3 linked regions of the Diceros bicornis minor genome follow. The protein of the gene in region 3 purifies or fractionates together with the protein of the main gene of each other region. This does not show direct contact. Links are inferred from orthologs where the notes say so. Each region holds a gene or a part of one and is shown on either strand. Other genes may lie near its edges. The genes, in order: MLST8, PRR5L and RICTOR.

The links.
Region 1: the proteins of RICTOR (region 3) and MLST8 purify together in Homo sapiens (affinity purification with western blotting; 14 studies listed by BioGRID and IntAct, with this or other methods). This does not show direct contact. The link is inferred for Diceros bicornis minor from reciprocal best matches to the Homo sapiens genes RICTOR and MLST8.
Region 2: the proteins of RICTOR (region 3) and PRR5L purify together in Homo sapiens (affinity purification with western blotting; 3 studies listed by BioGRID and IntAct, with this or other methods). This does not show direct contact. The link is inferred for Diceros bicornis minor from reciprocal best matches to the Homo sapiens genes RICTOR and PRR5L.

The regions. Positions count from the first base shown.
Region 1 is NC_080765.1:46,214,270-46,221,827, forward strand, and holds the start of MLST8 (target of rapamycin complex subunit LST8), read right to left. Parts: upstream 3,086-7,558; 5' UTR 3,003-3,085; intron 2,846-3,002; exon of another isoform or gene 2,551-2,845; 5' UTR 2,476-2,550; coding exon 2,347-2,475; intron 2,177-2,346; coding exon 2,125-2,176; intron 2,042-2,124; coding exon 1,879-2,041; intron 1,443-1,878; coding exon 1,367-1,442; intron 1,285-1,366; coding exon 1,132-1,284; intron 190-1,131; coding exon 65-189; intron 1-64.
Region 2 is NC_080770.1:32,255,218-32,262,151, reverse strand, and holds the start of PRR5L (proline-rich protein 5-like), read left to right. Parts: upstream 1-3,909; 5' UTR 3,910-4,047; exon of another isoform or gene 4,048-4,125; intron 4,126-6,934. UniProt on the Homo sapiens protein: Associates with the mTORC2 complex that regulates cellular processes including survival and organization of the cytoskeleton.
Region 3 is NC_080759.1:30,472,438-30,480,412, forward strand, and holds the start of RICTOR (rapamycin-insensitive companion of mTOR), read left to right. Parts: upstream 1-4,875; 5' UTR 4,876-4,880; coding exon 4,881-4,929; intron 4,930-5,100; coding exon 5,101-5,148; intron 5,149-7,975. UniProt on the Homo sapiens protein: Component of the mechanistic target of rapamycin complex 2 (mTORC2), which transduces signals from growth factors to pathways involved in proliferation, cytoskeletal organization, lipogenesis and anabolic output.

The sequences.
Region 1 (7,558 bases), on a different chromosome or scaffold from region 3:
CAGGCAGGTCCCCTCCTCCCCGCAGCCATCCAAGGGCTCCTGGTGCCCAGCCCCCGCCACGCACGTGGAGTCAGGGCTGAAGCGGCACTGCAGGGCATAGCGAGTGTGCGCTGGGATCTTGGTCTTGGGGATGAGCTGTGTCACCTCATCACCAATGCCCCCGGTCAGATTCCAGACATAGCAATTCCCCTGCGAGGTAGAAAGGAAGTTATGGGAGGCCTGGAGCCTCCAGCCTGACACATAGGGAAGGATGTCCTAGCAGCTAGATGCAGATCCAGGGGCTGCCATCCAATACTGTGGCTGTGCACAAGGATCTGGGGGCTAGGGACATGTGGCAGGCACATCTGGTCCTGCCTGCAGGGAGCACCTGGGAGGCCTGGCCCAACCAAGAGCCATACCTGGAGGGCCAAGAACAGGAGGCCACACTTGGCCTTCCTGGAAGATGCTGCTGGCCAAAGGGAATGTGAGGACCGAGGTGGGAGGAGGCACCCCAGAGAGAGAGACCAGGAGGGCAAAGGCTCAGAGGAGGGCAGTCTAGGGACATTGTGGGACAAGTGACTCGCTGAGATTTAATGGACGTTAAAGGGAGAAAATGAGGCTGGGTAGGAGATCAGTGGCCAAACTGCAGCATCCTGAGGCCATGGTAAAGAGCCAGGGGCACAGTGGGTGTATGCAGGGGGACAGTGCAATCAGGCTGGTACTGCTGAAGGATGCTCTGGCGGCACAGGGAGAATGGATCGGGGGCAAAGGGGAGGTCTGAAAGGAGGGAGGGGGGTTAGAGAGAAGCTGCAGCTGCTGTCGGGGGAGACAAGGGAAACCCGGACCAGGAGGCAACAGGGAGGAAGGAGGGAAGTGGACAGACTTGAGAGATTCTGGAGATGGAAGTGACCAGCCTGCTGGATGCGCTACGGCAGGTAGTGAGAGGCGGCGTCAGGAGCAACACCCAGGTTTCTGGCTTTGGTGGTTGGGTTGGAGCTGGAGCCCAGGAGAGGGAAGCAGGACTGGGAGGGGAAGGGGGAGGAGGGGTCTGAAGGACATCTGGGGAGTAAGCCCACCTGCAGGGAATAAGGGAGATCAGGGGCTGGGTGCTGCTAAGCTGGCCTCCCCCACTGCACCCACCCCAGGACTCACAGCGCTATTGACTGCTGCCATGTAGCTGGCGTCAGGGTCGATGTGGGCAGATGTGATGGAGACCTCGGGCTCGGGGATCAGCTGCTCGTTGTGGTCAGTCTTCAAGTCCCAGATGTGGATGGCGCCGCTCTGGTCCCCCACAATGAGTTCTGCCTGGGGTGCAGGGGAGGTGAGGTGGGGCAGAACCCCTGCCCTCCAGAACCCCAGGGTGCCCAGCCCTGTGCACAGCCCTCACCTGGTTGGGATGCAGGCACACGCAGTTAATGGGCGCATTCACCTGGAAGATCCGCTGACACTGCAGGTTCCGGGATCTTCGGGTGGGGGATATACACCTTCTGTTGGTGCCCCACCCAGATGCCCTTTCCTTGGCCATTTATCCTTGTTCCTCTGCTGATGGGAGCTGCCTCAGAGGAAATATCTGGGAGGTTCGGCCCTCCCCAGGGGCAGCCTGAAGCCAGTGACTGGCTCAGAAGGGGCATAAAGGCCAGCCCCTTGCCTCAAGGTGGGACTCACTCTCGGATACAATTCACTCGCCAGAGCTCCCTGTGGGATCAAGCTGAGGCTGGACTCGCCTTTGTGTGGCTTCACCACACAAAGCCCTATCCTGATTTCCTCAATAAATCACCCACACAGAAAACCCCATCTCAGCCTCTGCCTAGAGGGGACCTACCTAACACAGTCTCCTTCCCGGCCTGGCCCTCATGACCATACCAAGGCAGCAGGCCCTCCCTGCCCAGCACCCCACACCTGAGGTCCCAGATCCGGGCGGTGCAGTCCTCTCCACCCGTGTACATCCAGCGGCCATCCTCATGGAAGCCCACAGATGCGATATTCTTGTTAACCCCATCATAGCTGATGATGGGGTTGGGGTTATTGGAGTTGAGATCATACATGCGAATGTGCTGGTAACCTAGGGGCACAGGTCAAACTGAAGTTGGGCTGTGCCTAGATCCACCACCAGAGATCAGGGGTTGGGGTCGAGGGCACAGGTACCTGCAGCAGCAATCATGCTGCGGTCAGGCGTGATCTCGAGCGCGTTCACCTGCTGGGTCTGTCAAGGAGGGTAACGAACAGAGTCCTGGGGCCAAGGCCCTCGAGGCCTCCAACATCGGGCTCAGCTGCTGCATCCTTCCCACCTCAGGCCTTTGCCCAGGCTGTTATCCGCACCACGCGTCCTGCCCAGCACCACCCTTCCCACCCCCTAGTGGAGGATACGGAGTCCTGGTGCTGCACTGTACGGGTGCAGATCCCGCTGTGGGCCTGCCAGAACCGCACCGTGTGGTCATAGCCCGCTGTGGCCAAGATGACCGGGTCACTGCCCACCGTGCCTGGGGATGTGTTCATGGTGCGACTGCTTGGAAAACCCGGGCCTGCACAGGGCCCGAGATATGACCTACAAGGGGTGAGAGGTCAGAGCATCTGGAGGAGAGAGGCGTGCAGTATTTAGGGAATATCCTCTATATCCTAAGTAGATTACAGGTCCACTAGATGCTGAGGGATAGGTATTATCACTCTCATTTTAGATGAGGAAACTGAGGTTCAGAGAAGTTTAGGGACGCGTGACAACCGGCGAGGGACAGCTCCGAGCTCCAAGGCGCATGCTCCGTTCCCCGCCCCACGGACCGGGCCGGGAGCCACCCCACCCGCGGCCGGCAGGGGGCAGTCACGCCCGGGGCGCCGCTCTGCCGCAGGGGCGGGCCGCGCGTGCGCAGGGCGGCGGACGGGCCCGAGAGGCAAGCAGAGCGGTGCGGTTGCGCATGCGTAGCAGGCCAGCGGCTGGACTTGATGGGAGGGGGCGTTCTCTGGCTGGACCCTCGAGCTCCCTGGTGTTCCGCCGACCGCCCTGGCTCCGTCCCGCTGGGCCAGCTTACCCCGGGCGCGGTCTTCCGGCCACCGGCAGCCGCTTTCCGGCCCTCGTCCCGCGGCCTCCGTACCTTACATGCGGCTCCACACTCCGCCGCGGTCCAGGACGGCGAGAGGAGCCGGAGCGAATCGATAGAGGCCGAGGCCGAGCGTAGAGTTATCGATGGGACATTAGGGCGACACCACGCGGCGTAGGGGGGTGAGTGGGACGAGACCAAAGTTCTGGGGCAGGGGGCCCCTCTCGCCCTGGAAGAACCAGTAGAGGCCTGCGGGGTGCCTGGCGGCCCCAGCCTTCTCCCCATTCAGGCACCCCACCTTTCTGACACGGCTACCCATTTCCAGACTTGGATCCCGAGACGGGGTGGCGCCATCCCCTCCCTTCCCTCAGTCCCCTACTCCCCACGCCAGGCTAGGATTCCCAGGTAAATTACAGATAATTTAACTAGGTTAAATAGCAGGTAAACTTCAGATAAGTAATAATTTTTTTTGTTTGTTTAAGCATATCCCGAATATTGCATGGGATATACTTACACTAACAAGTTATTTGTTGCCTACACGAAAATCAAATGTAACTAGACTTCCTGTGGTTTTATTTGCTAGATCAGGCAACCCTAGTTCGGGCTCTCTTTTCAAGCCTGTCCAGCCCTGGCCGGCCTGACCCTCGGGTCCCCCCACTCAGCTCAGTGACCCCTCCAAAATTGGGGTCCCTCATACCCCCTTATCCATTCCAGCCTTCCCACACACCACACGCATGGCCTCACCCTCTTTCACAGGACAATAGAGTCCTTGAGACAGGCTCTCCCGCGGTGTCCTTGCACCGTGGAATGTAGCTGCACACCCCCCTTCCTTCCTCTGGCCCGTGGACCAAGGCCATGTCCCCCGCCCATCCCTCCGGGCCCTGGGTCCCAGGAACCTTCTTTCCTGTACCTTTCCCACCTCCCCTCCTTCCTTCACCTCAGCCTTTAAACACCGTAAAACAACCCAAAACTCCTTCCAGCAGGCACTCTCTCCTTCAAAGAGCCATCCTCACTGCCTTGCTGGCTCCATGTCCTCACTTCCCACTCACTCCTCTACCCGCTGTCGTGTCTTTGACCCCAGCTCTCCAATGAAAATGTCACAAGATCACTGGCCATCTCACACTGCCAAACTCAGTGGATACTTTTCCTTCTGCATCTTGACACGTCTGCCCAGTGTTTGACAGCTCTGCTCCTGAAAAGCTGCCATCACCTAGCTTCTCGCACTGGCACTCGGTCTCTGTCTCTGCCTCCCCCTAAAGGCTAGTGCCCTCCAGAGTTCTTGTCTCTGCACTGCCACACTGTCCCCGGGAGCTCTAGTTCACTCTCCAGGGCTTCCAATACCATGCCTGCCCCAGGCCTTTCCATCCTGTGTCCAGCTCAGATCCAGCTCCCTGTTAGACATTCTCCCTCGAAGGCCCCACGGACACTTCCACTTTCCGTGGATTTATCATAGACCAAAGGGCTTCCCCTTCTTCTTCTTCTTTTTTTTTTTTTTGTGAGGAAGATTAGCCCTGAGCTAACTTCCATGCCAATCCTCCTCCTTTTGCTGAGGAAGATCAGCCCTGGGCTAACATCCGTGCTCATCTTCCTCTACTTTATATGGGACACTGCCATAGCATGGCTTGACAAGCGGTGTGTCGGTCTGCACCCGGGATCCGAACCTGCGAACCCTGGGCCGCCAAAGTGGAGCGCATAAACTTAACTGCTGCGCCAGCAGGCCGGCCCCTGGGGCTTTCTCTTCTGCGTGTCAGTGCCCACCGTGTGTTACAGCTAGCTGTGACCCCTCTCCCATGACAGCCTCCTGACCTCCCTCCCCACACCCACTTTGGCCCCACTCCAGGCTGTCCTTCACATTGCAGAGTGGTCTTTTAAAAACCTAAGTCTGACCCCTGTTAGAAGCCTTCAGGGGTCCCCTCTCACTTTCCAGACTCCTGGGCCTGGCACCTGCTGACCCTGCGACTTTCTCTTTCTGCTCTATAGGCCATGTGCTGCATCCGGCCCGAGTGGACAACAGCCTCAGAATTCGCCACCACACACTCCCCTTTGAACCCTTGCCTGCTCCTAGGATGCTTTCCCTTCTGCCTCTTTATCTGATGAACTCTTGGTTTTCAAAACTTTTCATAGCATTTTGAGGGCTTATTCTGTGTGAGGTGTTATGCTGATATTTTTGTTTTAATTGTTGAGGTGAGATTCACATAATATGAAATTAACCTTTTTAAAGTAAACAATTCAGTGGCACTTAGTACCTTCACAATATTGTGCAACCACCACCTCTATCTAGTTCCAGAAGTTTTCATCACCCCAAAAGGAAACCCCGTACTCATTATGCAGTTACTTTCCACCCCTGCTCCCCTCTCAAGACCCCAGCCCCTGGCAACCACCAATCTGCTTTCTGTCTCTGTGGATTTGCCTGTTCTGGATATTTCATATAAATGGAATCATACGATATATGGTCTTTGTGTCTGGCTTCTTTCACTAAGCATAAATGTTTTCGACGTTCTTCCAGGTTGTAACATATCTCAGTACTTCATTCCTTTTTATGGCTGAATAGTATCCCATTGTGTGAATGGACCACATTTTGTTTATCCATTCATTAGCTGATGGACACTTGAGTTGTTTCCACTTTTTAGCTATCACAATAATGCTGCTGTAAAAATTCCTATACAAGTATCTTTTTGAGTACATGTTTTCATTTCTCTGTATACTAAGAGTGGAATTTCTGGGTCACATGGTAACTCTATGTTTAACTTTTTGAGGAACCGCCAAACCGTGCTGAGCATTGTACCTACATTATGCATCTGGTCTTTACAATGGCTCTGCCGAGGAAAAACCACCCCCATTTTGGAGACGAGAAAGCTGAGGCTCAGAAATCTAGAGTCGTGTGTCCAAGGGCACACAGCTGGAACACGACAGGACCCATCCTGCTGGGCTCAGCTCTCCCCTGATCTCACCCTTTCTGGCTGAGGTGACAACTCCCTGGGCAGCCCCAAACCTCGTATCTCCTCCCTGTCTTCCTCTCTAAAATTCCCCAGAGCAGCTCCGCCAGGCTCAGGGCAGCTCTGGGAGTGGCAAATGAAGACATGGGCTTGGAAGGCTGGGAGGAAAGAGCCCTGTGAACCTAGCACCTGAAGGATGTCTGGAGCAGGATAACCTGCCAAAGACCCTGCGAGCAGGAGAGAGGGGTGGGGCCGGGAAGGCTGGAAGACTTGGCCACATGTCTGTGGGGTCCCACCTGTGACCCAGGGAACAGGCCTTGAACTGTTTGCCTTTTCTGTAGGGGGCTCTAGGTGGAGCCTGGGGGCTACTCACGTCCCATGCCTAAGGGTAACTAGCAGGCGGGACCAGGCTCCCCACCCAGCTTGGGCAGCTCCAGCATCATCTCTGCTGGGCAGGAAGTGGGGAACAGGACGCATGGTTGTTGATCCCCTCTTATGTGCCAAGCACCAGCTGAGCGCTTTAGAGAGGTGGTCCCTATGAGAATGAGAGAAACCATGGCAGCTAACATATGCCGCGTGCTCCCAGCAGCCCATGGGGGGGTATGTTTGTCATTCCCTTTTCATACATAAGGGGCCAGGCACCACGGCTGGGGGGGGGGGGCGCTGGAGGGGCACCAGGAACGCCTGAGCAGGCGCACAGCTGGTGGGAAGGAGCTGTGCTGCTGGTGGAGGCTGCCATGCAGCTGGGAAGGGGGCCAGCCAAGTTGCAGTGAAGCGACCGCCAGCTCTACTCCAGGCTGAGCCTCAGCAATTCTGCTGCCTCAGCGGCCCCTCCTCCTGGGATCGTCCTCGGAGTCCTGGCTTCCTGGAGGGCTGCCCAAGTCCCACACTTCTGCATCCTCATCCCCTAGTGGCCTGCTGTGCCGCCCCCATCCCCAGGCTGGGGGAACCCAAGGCAGACTCACATCTCTGTTTTCATGTATACCCTCCCGTCAGCCCTATACCGCAGGCAGAGCTGCTGGCCCATTTTACAGATGAGGCAGCTGGGTGTTGGGAGCTTGTCCGAGGTTGCTGGGATGGTCAGTAGCAGATCTAGGACTTCCTGACCCCTCTTTGGGCAGTAGCCTCACCTAGCAGGGTGAATCCAGCAGAATCTGTACAACTCTCTTCCCAGATCTGTCCTCCTGAAGTCTGAGAGTGACTAAGGGGTGCCTGTTTGTGGGGTATAGGTGGAGCTGGAGCTGGGCAGAGAATGGAGGTGGGGTGGCTGCAGGCAGGGGCCAGTTCATTACCCAGAGGAATCCGAGAATTCTCAGTTAGAACTTGGCCTTTCAGGTCATGATGAAGGTACATTTGTCAAGGTAGGAGGATAGAACATATTTTATTTAACAGATTATTAGGCTGATTTATAACGTTTAAATATTTAGACTTTTGGAGTCTGGGCCTCTGTTTGTACCTTTGCCCCAAATCCTGCAATTCGGCTCAGGCCAGAGTGGTTTGCCTTAGCCAGCCAAAACATAAAAATAATGCTAAGGGTGAGAGCTATCTTTTTATTTTTATTTTTTGTAGTGCTTCCTGTGTGCCAGGCACACTGCTGGGCTCTGCAGATGC
Region 2 (6,934 bases), on a different chromosome or scaffold from region 3:
ATGGAGGTATCATAGAAGGAGGTCCGAACTGGAGATCAGACCTTGAACACCTACATTCAGCAGACATTTATTTCACACCTCTTGTATACCAGATTATTAAGACATTAAATGCTACGGTTCTGTAAATTGAAATGATTTTAACTATTATTCAGAAGTGGAGGCAGCTAATCAGCCCAAAAGGGAGTGGAGTGTAGTACATGAGCACTGAATTGGCCTCAGGGATCCCTGCCCTGTCCTCTCCCGCTTGTGTCTAACTTTGGGCAAGTCACCTAACCCCTCCTGAACTTGGTGTGATTAGGCTTTTGGGGTAGGCAGGAGCAGTGGTGATGGGGTGGGCAGGCAGTGTCCTGGGAACAAAGGAAAAGTAGAATAAGAGGCCTCTGGGAGAGCAGGAGCTGGATGGTGGGTGATCCCAAGGCAGCCCCAGGGAGGCCTCCCCTACTCCCTGTCTTGATGTCCACTTGCCTCCATAGCTACCCCATATCTTCCTTTACCTCAGGAGCGTTCACATTTTGCGATTCCAAGCAAGGTTTTGTTTAAAAAATGCATTCTCTTGCCAGAGAAAAAAAGGTTTGAAGCCATGCCATTCTCTTGCATAATTCCTGCTTACTCAGAGCTCCGGCCCCTTCGAACTCCGCGCCAGCATCCTTCTCTCACCACATCAGGGGTGGCGGGAGCGGGTGAAGCAGGCTGGGAACAAGAGGAGCAGGGAGTAGGGAGTGGCTGGGACTGTGGCAGACTGGAAACTGTGCCCTGTCTGCAGGAGACAGAAACACCGTGGCACCAGTTAATCGTGGCCGTGCAGGCTGGCGGCATATCAATGCCTGGTCTTCCAGATTTTTCAAGGCAAGCTGTAAATCCACATTTTTGCCTGAAGTTTTCTGATTTTTACACATTGGTGAGTAATTTAAAAAATGTTGACACCATGGGGTTCAAACAATATGCATCTAATATACATCTAGCTGGTCCACAAGCAGCCAATCTGCAGCTTCTAGAATCTAGAGTTCAGATAAAGTCATGACCTTTCAGCTTTTGTTCTGCATACTAGCTGTGCGTGTTGTGTGTGTGTGTGTTCACAGTCCTGAAATGGAATCTGATTGGCCCAGTGTAACTTTTTGGGGCCAGAATTTGTCACAGAACAAATCTGTGGATTAGCTGCATTTGGGTCAGGTGCCCGCCCTTGGTCTTAGAGGGGCTGCCTAAGGCCTACCCTTTCAGCAAGGGTCTTGATTGAACCAACTTTCATTTCAGAGGCTGTGGCCATGGCAAGCTGTGTACCTGATCGGTCTAATAAAGACATAGAATTTCCTCCTCCTCCAAATGAGTGTTTAAATAGAATGATTTGTATTGGTTTCTCCTAACAAAATTCTGTTTATTATAAGAAAAGGCAATGTTCCACCGACATTTATAATTTCAGTAAAAGTTTGGGTGGTGTTAAGTATAATATATTGGTATGAATGGTACTTAGAGAAAGCTCTGATTTACACCAACATGTTGGTTACTTCTCATTTTAAGAAAATTCTGTTTACAAAATTGGCAACTCTCAGGGTTAGAAGAGACGTTAACCTCTTTACACCTCCCTCCCAGTCCTGAATTCTCTTTTATGGCACCCCCACTAGACTGGCACCCACCTACACTGTACTACTTCTCTTTACCAGGGAGTGCACTTCTTCCAGAGGCAGCCTCTTTCCTCCTTGGACAGGCCTGGTGATTCAGTTTTTTTCTTATTGCACAGTGCCCAACCTACCATAGGCAGTCACTACAGCGTATATTTGCTAAACAACCCCATTCATGGATTCATTCCTGCGATATTTACTGGGTGCCTACTATGTGCGAGGCATTGTTCTAGGATCTTAGGCAGTATCAGTGAGCAGAACAAATCCACGTTCTTGGAGAGCTGATGTTCTAGCCTGGAAGGAGGAGGTGGTGGGAGAGAGACGTTAAATTTCTTTTAAAAAGTAAATCATGTAATATGTTACAAGGTGATAGAGGCAATGCAAAAAAGAAAAAGTAGAACGGAATGAGGGGGACTGGGAGGGAGGAGGGAGTTATAATTTTACAAAGACCGAATAGGCTAGGCCTCATTGAACAAACACTTGAAGGAGCTGAGGGAGTCAGCAATGCAGAATGAATGTTCCCAAATCGGTCTTCCTGCAGCCGTGCAGAAATAGCTCCCTTTTCACTGCCCAGCCCTGCAGGATAATAGTAGTAAGAATAATAGCTTAATATCTGTTGAATCCCAGCAGAGATTCTAAGCCCTTTCCCTGTATGAAGTCATTAAATACTCATCACAATCCTAAGACATAGCTACTACTTTTTAAATTTATATTTATTCAGTTTTTATTTTACAGAGGTCATATTGGCTTATAACACTGTAAACTTCAGGTGTACATTATTATATTTCAGCTTCTGTATAGACTGCATCGTGTTCACCATCAATAGTCTAGTTTCCATCTGTCACCAGACACATGTGCCCCTTCACCCCTTTCGCCCTCCCCCGACACCCTTCAGCTCTCATACTCACCAATCTGTTCTCCTTATCTCTGTTTATCTTCCATATGTGAGTGAAATCATACCGTATTTGTCTTTCTCTGCCTTATTTCACTTAGATAGCACTATGTTGCTCCCCATTTCACAGGAGTAAACTGAGGCATAGCACAGTTAACAGACTTGGCTAAGACGGGCAGCTAGTAAGAGGAGGAGGTGGTCTACAAACCTTGACCTACTGGCCCCAGGCTTTGGCTCTTAAATCCTCAGCAGAGTTGCCTTGAAGCCATCTCTCAAGTCCCCTCCCCACTCACTGCCCCCTCGAGCTTTTCTTTCCCAGGCACAGGCCTCAAACCTCCTCCCTTTCATTGCACTTGATTCCTGGGATGAGACTTAGTGTCTCTTCATCATCCTGGGGTTTGTGTTGAGAATACTTTAGCTTTATCTGAAGTGGGGCACTTTATCTAAGTGAGGCACCCAGAGCTCTATTAACTGCCCCCCCCAGCAGTCCTTACACAGGTTTTGTAAGGTCACAGTGACCAAAATAAAGACAAATTTTTTCTCAGTTTTGACATAAAAAGACACATACGTCTTTTCTTCAGCAAATGTCACTGTGGTTTCAAAGGCTAAGTGTGATGTGTGAGCCGGCAGCATTTTTAAAGTGTTTCCTGCTCAACCATAGGGTGAAACTACGCAAGCCAGTGAGTCCTGAAAACAGCTGCATCAAATTCTTAACACCTGCAAAAAAAAAAAAAAGTTTTGAAAATAATTTTACATTGTTTTTAATTTGGGGATTGGTTGGTTTTCTGTTGTTTCAAACTTTGAAGGACCCTCCAATTCACTAAACCTTCGGTTGGAGAGAGAACTTGGAAGCTTTAAAAGAGTTTTGCAAATCTAAGGGAGAGACTTCACCGGAATTATATTTTTATTAGTGCACTTAAAACAACTTCTCCTGAAATTGGCCTGGGGACTGTTCCTTCAAACAACAACGAAAGTCCCAGGCTCTAGTCCCCTAATGAGTCCTAGAATCAGCCCCTTGGCTTCTTGGTAGAGTTTCCCGTCGTGGGGGGACGAGGGGGGAGATCCCGTCGTGGAGAGGGGGCATCTCGTCCGTCCTGTGTGAGGGAAACACAGCACAGAGTTCCCTTGACCTGTTGCATCCTCCCCCGCTTTTCAAGTCAGAGCTGGATTTCCTGAAATTGTTGAACTGGATGTAAGTGCAGGCGCCCCCTCCCCCCACCACCCCCAACAGGGTGAGAGTTGCTGCAGGGGAGGAGTGGGATGGGGTGAGGTGGGGTAGGGTGGGGGCCATTGGAGAGAAACTAAAGCGATGAGCACAGGACAGGAAAAGTGGGAGGAGGAGGGGGAGGGGGAGGAGGGGGGAGGAGGCCGTAAGATGAGAGAGGAGGGAAACGTGTCACCAGCCCGGCCCCGGGAGCTCCGCGGCCGCCGCGTTGGTTGACTCCGCCGGGGAGGACCCGAGGCTGGAGCGGACCCCGCAGAGGGCAGAGCTGGGCAGAGCGGGCGGCGAGAGCCATCCAGGGCGCTCGTTTCTCTCCGGTGAGAAAACTTTCCCGGGAAGACCGGAAACTTTTTCCTGGGCGCGCGGAGGCGAGCTGCGAGTGTGCGCGACTCGAGGTGACTCAGCCCCGGGACCCCAAGGGGGTGACGGGGAAGTCCCCGGGAGGGGCTAGAGTCGCAGGCTCAGCAACGGCACAGAATTGGGAACAAAATCGCCGGGCACGACAGGCACAGTGCGGCGGGGCACAGGGAAGCGGGGCTTGGGGAAAGCGTCACATTTGGGGGCAACCAGGTGGGGACCCCCGCATGGTTGAGGATCGCCCCATCGATCGGAAGCTGCCGGCAGGCGTAGAGCACCGGACTAGCGCCCATCGTGGTGGGGAGGGGGGGAGCTGAGCCCGCGTCGGCGGCTTAGGGTGGGCGAGGGACCCCTGTGGGTGGGATGGGGGATGCCGCCGATCGTGGGACCCGGGCTGAGCCAGGAGATCGTAAAAGAAAGTTTGCTTGTTTGTGTCTCTCGTTCTCCCCCGGCCTGAGGGGCAAATCTAAAGTAAGCTGACCCACTCGGGCGCGGGCGACTCGGCGCCCCGAAACAGCTCATCTTTTCCTGCCGTCCCCTCTTTTCTGGAGGGAGCGTGGGAGGGGAGGGCAGGGAAGGCAGCCGCTTTGTCCCGCGCGCCGCTGGACGTGCGCGCTCCGCCGACTGGGGCGGGCCGGGCGCAGCCTGGGGAGACCGGCGGGCGGGCGGCTCTCCCGGCCAGCGGCATCCCCTTCCCGCTGCATCTTTCCCGCCCGCCCTCCATTTGGCGAGGCTTCCCAGCGCGCGTACTGTGCGCGCACGGCGTGCTCACTGCGCGCAGGGGGCGCTCTAGGCCCCCCGCCCCGGGGGCTCAGGCTCTCCCTTCCCAGCCCTCTGCCCCTTATCCTGTGGGCGCCCGCCCCTGGTCACACCGGGCTGTGTACTTGCAAACTGTGCTGCAGGAATTGGCTCCGGGGTGCCTCCCTGGTTGGCAGTAGGGTTTTCCCCCTGTTGTACCCAGCCCCTGCTCTCGGTCACATGCCGCCGCCTCTTCCCCCGCGGTGCCGGGAGCCCGCGTTTTGTTTGTCAGCAGTAAGGCGATGAGTATTTATAGACGCCACTGCAATCCTGCGGTATGCAAGGTTTCAATTACTGCGATGCGCCCCACAAGACGGAAGGCTCACGCGCCGCTGCTCAGCGGCACGTCTGCTCTGGGGACTCGCATGGAAAAAGCTCTGAGCTGGAGTCTCCGGGCATCCCTGCTGGGGCGGAGTTCTGGACCTGTTGCCCAGACGATACGTGCAAATTCAAGTGATCCACGCAGAGGACCAAAGCAGTCAAGGACGCCAACAGCCCTGATTGTCTCCGTCCTCTGACCCCCTCCCCCACCAAAGGGTGCGCGCTTGTCCAGACCCGGAGACTGCCCTTTCGGCCCTGGCGTTGGTGATCCTGGCCACCGTGGGTTGCAGTCATGACATTTCATTGCCCTACTTGCTGCAAAATGTCATAGTGCTGCGCTCTGGTAAATTGCTCTCGGGGTGGAAGGCACTGTTATTGACAACGCGAAGCAGCAAGTGGGTCAGGAGGGGAAATGGAGCTTGCAGAAACTGAGTTAGCCAAGTTTTAAATTTAGCCCTGGTGAGGTTCCCGTACGACCGACTGAGAAGGGCGCAGCGCTGCTCTCTGGGACCTGGCTGTCCGTCTTCTCTGGCTGCAGTACTGAGCCCTGGAATCCGGCCGAGGGTGCTCTCAGAGCATCTCCTGTAGAATGTAGCAGATAAGGGAAACAATGCTTAGTCAGTCCAAAAAGTAAGGGAAACTGCTTGGTGAGTCCACAAAGTCGTCTTCGGTTTTTCCAACCCCAACTATTGTCTTTTCAGTATTTTATTGATGCTTCTAACAGCTAGAACCATTAATAGTGTAACAAAAAAGAAAGATAGGCGTTAGAAATAAGCTAGTCTAACCAGCTTATTTCTCAAGGGCTTGGACTAGCTTGTTTCTCAATGAGGAGACCTTATTTCTTTCAGATCCGGAGGGTCATGGATGTATGTTTATTTCAACGGGTGAGATTTCAATAATGGTCTGTTTGAACATTACAAAAATATGCCCTTTATTTTAAAAAAGGGGAGGGGACAACCACCCCTCGAGGTCTCATTATGTCTTAAACTGTGCACCAAGAGACTTTGATAGTATTATATAATCTGCACCATAACATTGATGAGGTAGGTACTATTATATCTCCGTTATATAGCTGAGCCCACTGAGGGTTAGAGAACTTAGTTTGTCCACACACACACAGGGTGGAGCTGAGAATGGGTTCCAGCTCTGTTAAGGCAGGCTTGTAGTGCCAGCCTCTACTGGAGATGTCTTTCCCTTCCTCCCTCAGTTGTTGATGAGCTCATCTTATAGTTGATTAACTTGGTGCCTTCTTTCTTTTTTTTTGTTTTAATGTCACATAATATCACAGAGTGGCCCAATTATTGAAAAAAAATCCTAGTCTTGTCTTTAGAAATCTGTTACACTGCTACCTGAAAATTCCATGCTGGCAATCCAGACCTAAATGTCATAATCTGCAGTTTGTTCTTGACAATCTATGTGCAACATTTAAACCATTTATCTGTAGAAAATTGAATCCAGTCAGGACTTTGTGTATGTCTTCATTATTTCTCTATCCTAAGGTTTGTAGGTGTGCATGTGTATATTTCCTGTTGTCATTCCTTTTGTATTGTCTTGTACAAGGTAAAATGTACCGAAATATTTCTTGAATTGCAGCCTTTAAATCTTTTTTTGTAGAGCTAGACCAATACAGAATTGATTTGCGAAATAGAGTACAAGCCCCTCTGAAAGATCCCTACGTGTCATTAGAACCTTGTTCGGTAGAGTTGCCTCTCCATATGCAAAATGTAA
Region 3 (7,975 bases):
AAAGAAAAAGGTATTTGAACAAATAGGCATTAGGAAAGCTTTGCTGTGCAGTTGGATGGAAGCATAAATGCACCTACACTTGTCTTAGTTTGTGGTGTTTGCTAAATTCTTTTCATAATGAAATATACAAATAACTACTCTTTTTCTGCGCCACCAAAGTAAGGATGTACCAAAGAACAAGTATCCTTATCAGTAAACGACTTCCTTAATAAAAGCAATGTTTTGTGAAAAATTGATGAAGTAGTTGCTATAAAAATTTAAGAGATTCACATAAGAATATAGTACTACTCGTGATAATTTTCTATAATAAAGAACTTTAAAATACAGTTTAATTTTCACACACTTCAAATGAGAATGAGAGTGACTATGAAAAAATCTTTTGTACCATACAGATGTTTGATATGTATTTAGTGGCAAAGTGTTTTTCACGATGACTGGTGGCTTCTAGTAGCATGTTATCTATCAGGTATTTAAAAAGATATTAAATCTAACCTTTCCTTTCGAGGTGAATGTAATAACAATAACTAAGAAAGTTACTACTTTGCAAAAGACATTTGTGCTTAGGAAGAGAGCATTTAGAAAATAGATATTTGGAAACATTTGCAGAGTTCTGTTTGTTTTCCTGAAAACAATTAAAAATATAAATGTGTCACCTCTATAAATTTTTATATCTATACACTTAAAAATCAGGGAAACAGAGTTTTCTAACCTGCTTAAAATCTTTCCGATGAAGAGTTTTGAAACGATTTGTTAACAATTTCTAAATGTTACACCTTCCAGTTTGTTAGGACAATGGATTGACATTAGGGAAGATGGACATTTATCAGCCAAATTACATAAAAAACCTTTGTATAACTGATGGGTGGAATGTAAAAACGAGTGTTCTTGATCGATTTAGACACTGCAGCCACTAGAGTAGTTCTTCCATTTTTAACTTTGTGTTTTGTGAGGTTTCAGTTACTAAAACCCAGCATTCAAATAAACTCTTCTCAGAAGTGGACTTCTGAATTGCTGGATCACAAAGTATTCAACAGGAAATTTAAAAAATAATGAAGTGTATTCAGCCCCGTTGTTTTGATTTGCGCCATTAGTAAAGTAACACTAAAAATTATTTTCCATTACTTTGAACCATTGTTATTTCACTTTTATGTTCTATTTAACAAAAAAGTAAATGCACATGATTGGAGTATGCACACAAATGCTATTTTTTTTGATGATGAGATGCACAAATAATTTTGAGAGGTCCACTGCACAACAAATTATTATAATCCAGTGTTTATCATTGCGGTTTAGGATAGCCAACACAATTTCTCTCAAACGTTTTTTTAAAAAAAAATTTGCACGAGTAAAAATTTGTTTTAGAACAATTAAAATGAGAAAAAGAAAGGTAAAAATCACTCAAAATTCTACCAACCAAAGATAAATCACTGTTGAAATTTTAGTGCATACCCTTCTAGATTTTATTTTATGAATATACGTATCTTCTTCTTTTACAAACATAGGCCTATATTTCCTTTTACAACTGCTTTCACAGAGGGCCTTTATACCTTATAGAATTTTTAAAAATAAAATTTACATGAGATTTTGGGATAGAGATTAAAATTTACAGGAATAATACTAAGAGGCTACTTCCTGCTATAACCAAGGCTGAATCTTCATAATCAACCTTGTGTAGGATTATAACATTTGTTTCATTTAGTTCATTGCCTGTCATTTTAATCGCCTTTATCTAGATGTTAAATGTGTGGTTTAGCTATGACGAGAAATTACTAAAAAATAGACTGACCAAATGTTGTGGTTTTCAACTTGCTTTATCTTCACATGGCCTATGTAATTAGGCAGATAGATAAAGGGAACTAAGATTTTTGGCAAGGCTTTGTTTCTGTTAACATTACCACTGTATCTGAAACTGATAAAATTTGGTTTATAAACTAGAATTACTGTGTGCAATAGGATAGAAAATAGAACATAGAGAGTGACTCTTCACGAAAGTCATTTTATCTTCAGAATGGAACAGTCATTTCTTAGAGGTGTGGTTCTGGACCCAATCTCAATAACATTTTTTATCAATGACTAATACTATGAGAAATTCACACAGCAAATGAAACCTAGTTGGGAAATGAAAACTAAAAAGAGGAAGTCACATTCTCAATGACCAGATTAGAATCAAAATGACCCGGAAAATTGAAGAAGTAATAAGAAATAAACAAAATGAGTAAGACATAGGGGTGGGCTAAAATAAACAAGGAAGAAAAATAAGTTTCAAAAAGAGGAATGGCTAGCTATTGGCAAGTACAGAAGATAACTTAGGGGTTTTAACAAATAACAAGCTGACCAGGATCAATAATGTATTGTTTAAAAACCAAACACAGGATTATGAAATGTATTCCTTACTAAAATTTACCTAAACTCCTGCTTCCTAGTTGAGTGTCATTTGCAAACACTAAGAACTTGTTCTTTTTACCAGGAATGCCATTCACCTTAAGAACAAATGTGGAAAACACAGCCACTCAAATGACTGACACAGTAACAGAGGAAAAACTAGTTCCATTGTACAACTGGAGAAAGATAACTTTTTTCTCCGGGAAGAGATGGAGTAACTGAATAATGATCTTTAAAAAGGAACATACAGTTATAAAGATGCAAGGCTATTAGATTCAGGCTCTCATGTACCCTAAGTAATTTACAAGTGGATCAGTTGTATTCACTTTCATGAAAGACTGAAAGAGAAAATGAAAAGAGAAAATTGTATTAGGAAGGAGTTCATTTAGAACAGATAAGGATTAAAAAATAGGATAGAAAGAGTTGATTGAAAATTGGAACAATTCTAAGACTCTAGTAGAACTTCCATTGATAGATTTCTGCTTTTCTAAACTGGGGGAATGTGATACGTGGAGGGATGAAATACAAAATTTTTAATGTCCTAGCCAGACTTCAAATTTTGTGATTTTTGTCTTAGGCTGTAACTAGAATAAATAATTTGCACTGAGACTTAAAAGCTACAAAAAGGGAAGCAAGTTTGTTGTTATTAAAATTACTACTGGTAATGTCAGGAGACATTTTTAAAAAGTACTCTGAGCAGCATGCTTGAATCTAAGTGCAATATCAGCAGCAGGTACCTGATTGCAGACCCAGTAGAAAAGGACCTGGAGTATACAGAGGGTAGTATCCTAAGGAAGCAGTGTTCCTCTTTTATTTTTGTAATGATGCTACTCTATGCTGCTTTTATTTTTCTTTTTAAAACTTTTACTTATTTTACCATAGATATATATTAAATATAGGACATTTAAAAGCAAACAAGAACAAAAAACCTTACCTGTAATCCTACAACTGAACGGAACAGAATTAGTTAATATTTTGATGTATATCTTCTCAGACTTTTTTCTACATACACAGACATGTAAAACATTTTCTCAAGTATACTTTTAATTTGATATGTATCTTAAACGTTTACAAAAAAGGGTTGATTTAATATCATGAACATTATTTCCTATAAATATACTAGACCTACACCATCATTTTTAATGGCTGCAATAATGTGCATAATCCCTACCTTTGGTCATTTAAGTGTTTCCAATCGTTCACTATTATTAACGACTGCAATTGGTATCTCCAATATTGCTTTTTAAATTTTTTTACATCAAAAAGAGCGTTGGAACAAAGAAGGAATCCAGGGGATTTACTCATCCGATTATTTATTGAACACTTATTTGTGCTGGGAGCTGGGAAAAGAGAGGTTGTTAAGGCAAGATCCCACTGTTAATGAATTTCCAGTCTCATGGAATAGAAAGACAAAAGTTGAGGGATAAAAGGCGACAAAACGCTCAACCTCTCTTTACAGTTAATCTAGTAAGAGAAAGTTGCTGGGTCAAGGGCCAGTTACACATATATTAATTAGCTATAGCAGTTTCTAGAATTAAAATCTCTACAGTTAACAACAGTTAGGCTTATGTATAAAAAATACGAATCCACAACTTTTACATTAGCTACTGTTCTAGGAGCTAGAAAACAGCCCTCACAGCAGCCTCTCCTTGGTTCCAGGCAGAGAGGAAACCCTCTCCCTGGGCCTCCCGGCGCCCGCGCGTGCGCGGGAAGAATCCCACCCAGCGCCCGGGACGACCACCCTGCGCTCGGGCTTTTACATCCTCTTCTCCCGTCCTGCGCCCGGCGGTCAAAAACAAAACTTACAACCAGCCACTTCCACTCAGAGGATCCCTCCTGGCTCAGTGTGGCTTGGAAGATCAAGTGCAAAGCTGCTTAGTATGGGGGACAGAGCGACGGTGGAAAACTAACTTTGTTACGTGTTAACTTGGTTGGAGCAAAGCGACTCTAGGAAGGGATTTGTTGCATTAAAACTGTGCGGAGCGTTTTTGTTTTTTTAATAAAAATCGTTTTAATTGATGAATAAGGAAGGGAGACTGTCTATCTCAGGGCTTGAAAGCAAGCAGGAGAATCATGCAGGATGGTTTCAGCAGGTGGCCCGCCGGCCGCATCCCGATCCCCTTCCAGCTCGCCTCGGTTTTGACTATGGTTTCCGCGGCCGCTGGAGGGGAAGCATCCTCCACGCTGCAAACTCGCATCAATGGGATTCCCCTCGTGGGAAATGCCCCCCTCCCGCAGACGTGCTCTCAGAGGGCCGGGCACATCGCCGCGCCCTCCGGCTCCTAGACTGTTGGGCACCCGCACCGCGAGCTCCACTGAGACCCCAGGTCGGCACAACGCTCCCTCCAGTCCCAGGCAGAGCCAGCACCGCCCGCCGCCGCCGCCGCCGCGGAGGGGCGGGGGAGATGCCGCGGGGGGCGGGCGCGGCGCGCGGGGAGGGGAAGGGGTTCTCGCGCGATTGGGCGAGGTTTCCGGTGTTGTGACTGAAACCCGTCAATATGGCGGCGATCGGCCGCGGCCGCTCGCTGAAGAACCTCCGAATACGAGGTAAGCCCGCTGCATCCCTCACCCCCCACCGCCCGGCGCCAGCCACCCCTGGCACTTGCCTCCCCCTGGCCCTGGGCGGGGGGAGCGAGCCGGGGCGCTGGCTGGAGCCGGGGCTGCAGCCGCTGGCCTGCGAGCGAATCCTAATTGGGGCTGTGTGTCTGTTTCGCGCAGGGCGGAATGACAGCGGCGAGGAGAACGTCCCGCTGGATCTGACCCGAGGTAACGCGGGGCGCCGGCGAGGGCGCGCGCCGGGGGGGAGCCGGGGTCTGGGGGCCGTGGGCAGGGGCGGGTCCCGCTCGGGACCGGCTGGGGTGCGGGAGGCAGAGCCCGAGCCCCGCCTGCCGGCCCGCGGGAGCCAAGCCCGGGGCCGCCTCCCCGGACCCATCCCCCTTCTCGGTGCCCGCTTCTCTCACCCCGAGCCCTGCTCCGGGCCTCTGGGGGCTGCGGGGGCCGGCGAGCACCGAGCGGGACTCGGCGACCCTCTGGGTTCCCTGGACCCTCGAGGGAGCGTTTTGCTCCTATCCCGGGGCTCGTGCAGCCGAATCCTAGGGGCGGCCGGAGGGAGGTAGAGGCTGCTACTTAGGTTGCCGGAGGATGTCTGCGGGAAGAGCGACCACATCCTGCCCTCCCCGGCCCCCGGAGCAGAAGCCGGACCTGCTCGGTTCTTGTTGCCTGCGTGACTGCTTCTCTCTTTGCCCACCGCCCTGGGGAACCCGCAGCCTTGATCACTCGGTAGTGAAACCATACTGCTGAGTGTCTGGTTTACGCCGTATTTCCCTCCGGTTTCCCTTTCCCGGGCCGCTGGGACTGTAGTTGGCAAAGACCGCCCCCTCACCCTCGCTGCAGGTTCATTGTTTACCTTCTGCAGTGGCGATGGGTTTGTTTACACCTTCGCAACTGGGTAAACCCCGGTTATATTTTTAAGACTTAATTCGGCCACTGGCCACTGTATCTTCGATCAGTCCCTGGAGTTCATTCGACAACATCTCTCTGAAGATTCAGTAGTTATATACAAGGTTTTGCTTTTCTCTTCCACGGTAAACAGGATTTGGTCTACTGATTCCGAAGAAGTCATATTTCACACAGGCTGTAGCTTCGAGTGTAACCTAGTTCAGCCGTACAGAATCAGTTTCCTTTTTGAGATCTGAAAAACACTTTAGGAAGTTAAGAAAAGTCTTTGTAAACATTCTATATAAAATGAAAAAACATTTTTTTAACCTGTGTTGCACTTGCCAGTTATTGTCTATGGTGTTTGTCAGACGCAGGCTCCTTGTTGAGAGGCTCATCTCTGTGTTTAGAGCATAGTGCATTCTGTAATTTGTTTTATTTTGTATATCATAATGTAAGATTACTGTTTTTATAAACTAAAAGGCTAGTTTTCATTTAGCTACGAGAGTACATTTTGTAACAGTATGTTCTGAAAGTTCAGGGACTTAGTTTTGAGTGAACTGGCTCCTTTTACAGGCAGAAGAGTTTCTAAAACATAATAGGGCTTAAGTAATAGAAATGGCAACTAAATAGATCACTAACGCACTAAATTGGAACATTTTTTTCAGCAGATGGGGTTTGAATATTAGTATAGAAAGATGTAAAGCTTTTGACTTGTGTAAGCTCAGAAACTTGACTAGATATAACAGATATGAAAAATCTGTGTAAAATATATGGGAAAAGATTTTCTAGTAAATTTCCTAACAAAGTAAGCAAAATTCCCACAGGGCTCAAAATTAGCATTGAGTTCTGTAAGGGATGTAGTTTATTAGTGATTTAATTTATCTCTGAGCATATGTGTTTTAGAGGTGAAAAGAGCATTTATTAGATCTTGAGTCTAATTCATGCCTTAAAAACCTGTTTGGATGTGATGCTAGAAGTAAGTTATAGTTGTGCTTTTAATTGAGACTGCTGAGGTCCTATATATAGTGGTTTCTCTGGTTGATGTAAAAATTTTGGGTTGTAAAAGAACTTATGTACAAATTAAATTTGATATTTTTGGTTTATTCCAATTTTACTCAAGTAATGCAGATAGTAAGCATACTATTTAAAATGCTGTATTTCCTGAGCTTTAACAAGGTGTTTCTAGGATAATACCAAAAGTATAGTAAGTGCTGTTTCTTCTTACCCTGACAAAATGTTCTTCAGTTTGGAATAAAATATACACAGCCAATTGAAACTGATTGCAAAAGCACTATACAACTAAGAATGAGAGGTTATGTGAGAACTGTATTCCTAAATCCTAGAGAAGTTTAGGATAAAAAAAGTAACCTGAGTTAGATTAATCATATAGTGACGCTATTGTTTAAGAAATTGCTATTCTGACAAACATTTCATTGTTAAAAGAAGGCTTATGGATCTAACATAAAGAAAGTTCCTGAGGAATTAAACTTTAGTAATAATTTGAGAACTGTGGGGCAGTCTGGGTTGCAGCTGAAGGCAGCTGTTTGTGGATTGGATTACAGTATGTTTTAGATAAAATTTGGGTAACCAAAAATATATATTTTTAATACTAATGCAGTGTTTGCTCTCATTCTAATTGTTTTTATGTAACCTTTGAGAAATTCATTGTGTAGCCATTTAACAAAGTTCATTACAAAATAGAGGTCACAGTCATTGTAATTCCTAAAGGAGCCATCAATGTATTGTGAAAAGAAAGACTGTAAAGTGCAGTAGTTCTGGGTTGTGATTTGGGGCAAGTTATTTGACCTTGCTTTCTTCTTGGTTTCTTCATCTCAAAAAAAGAGGTAACTTCAAAGGGTTATTATGAATGTGAGAAGTAAATGACCTAGTGCTTAATTAAAGTACTCAGCACAGGACTTGTTACTTTGTGAGTAATGTTAAATAAATGTTAGTTGCCTTCCTACACTGTGAAATCAAAATTATTTATATCACATTTCAAATGTGATAAATATTTACATCAAATATTGCAAATATTTCAAATGATTGTTTTAAATATTATAAACTTGTTAATAAGGAATTATGGTATTGAAGCTTTCATTTTTTGAGACATACTATTAATTGGGTATAGTCTGTCTGAAGTAGAGTTCTTGAATAT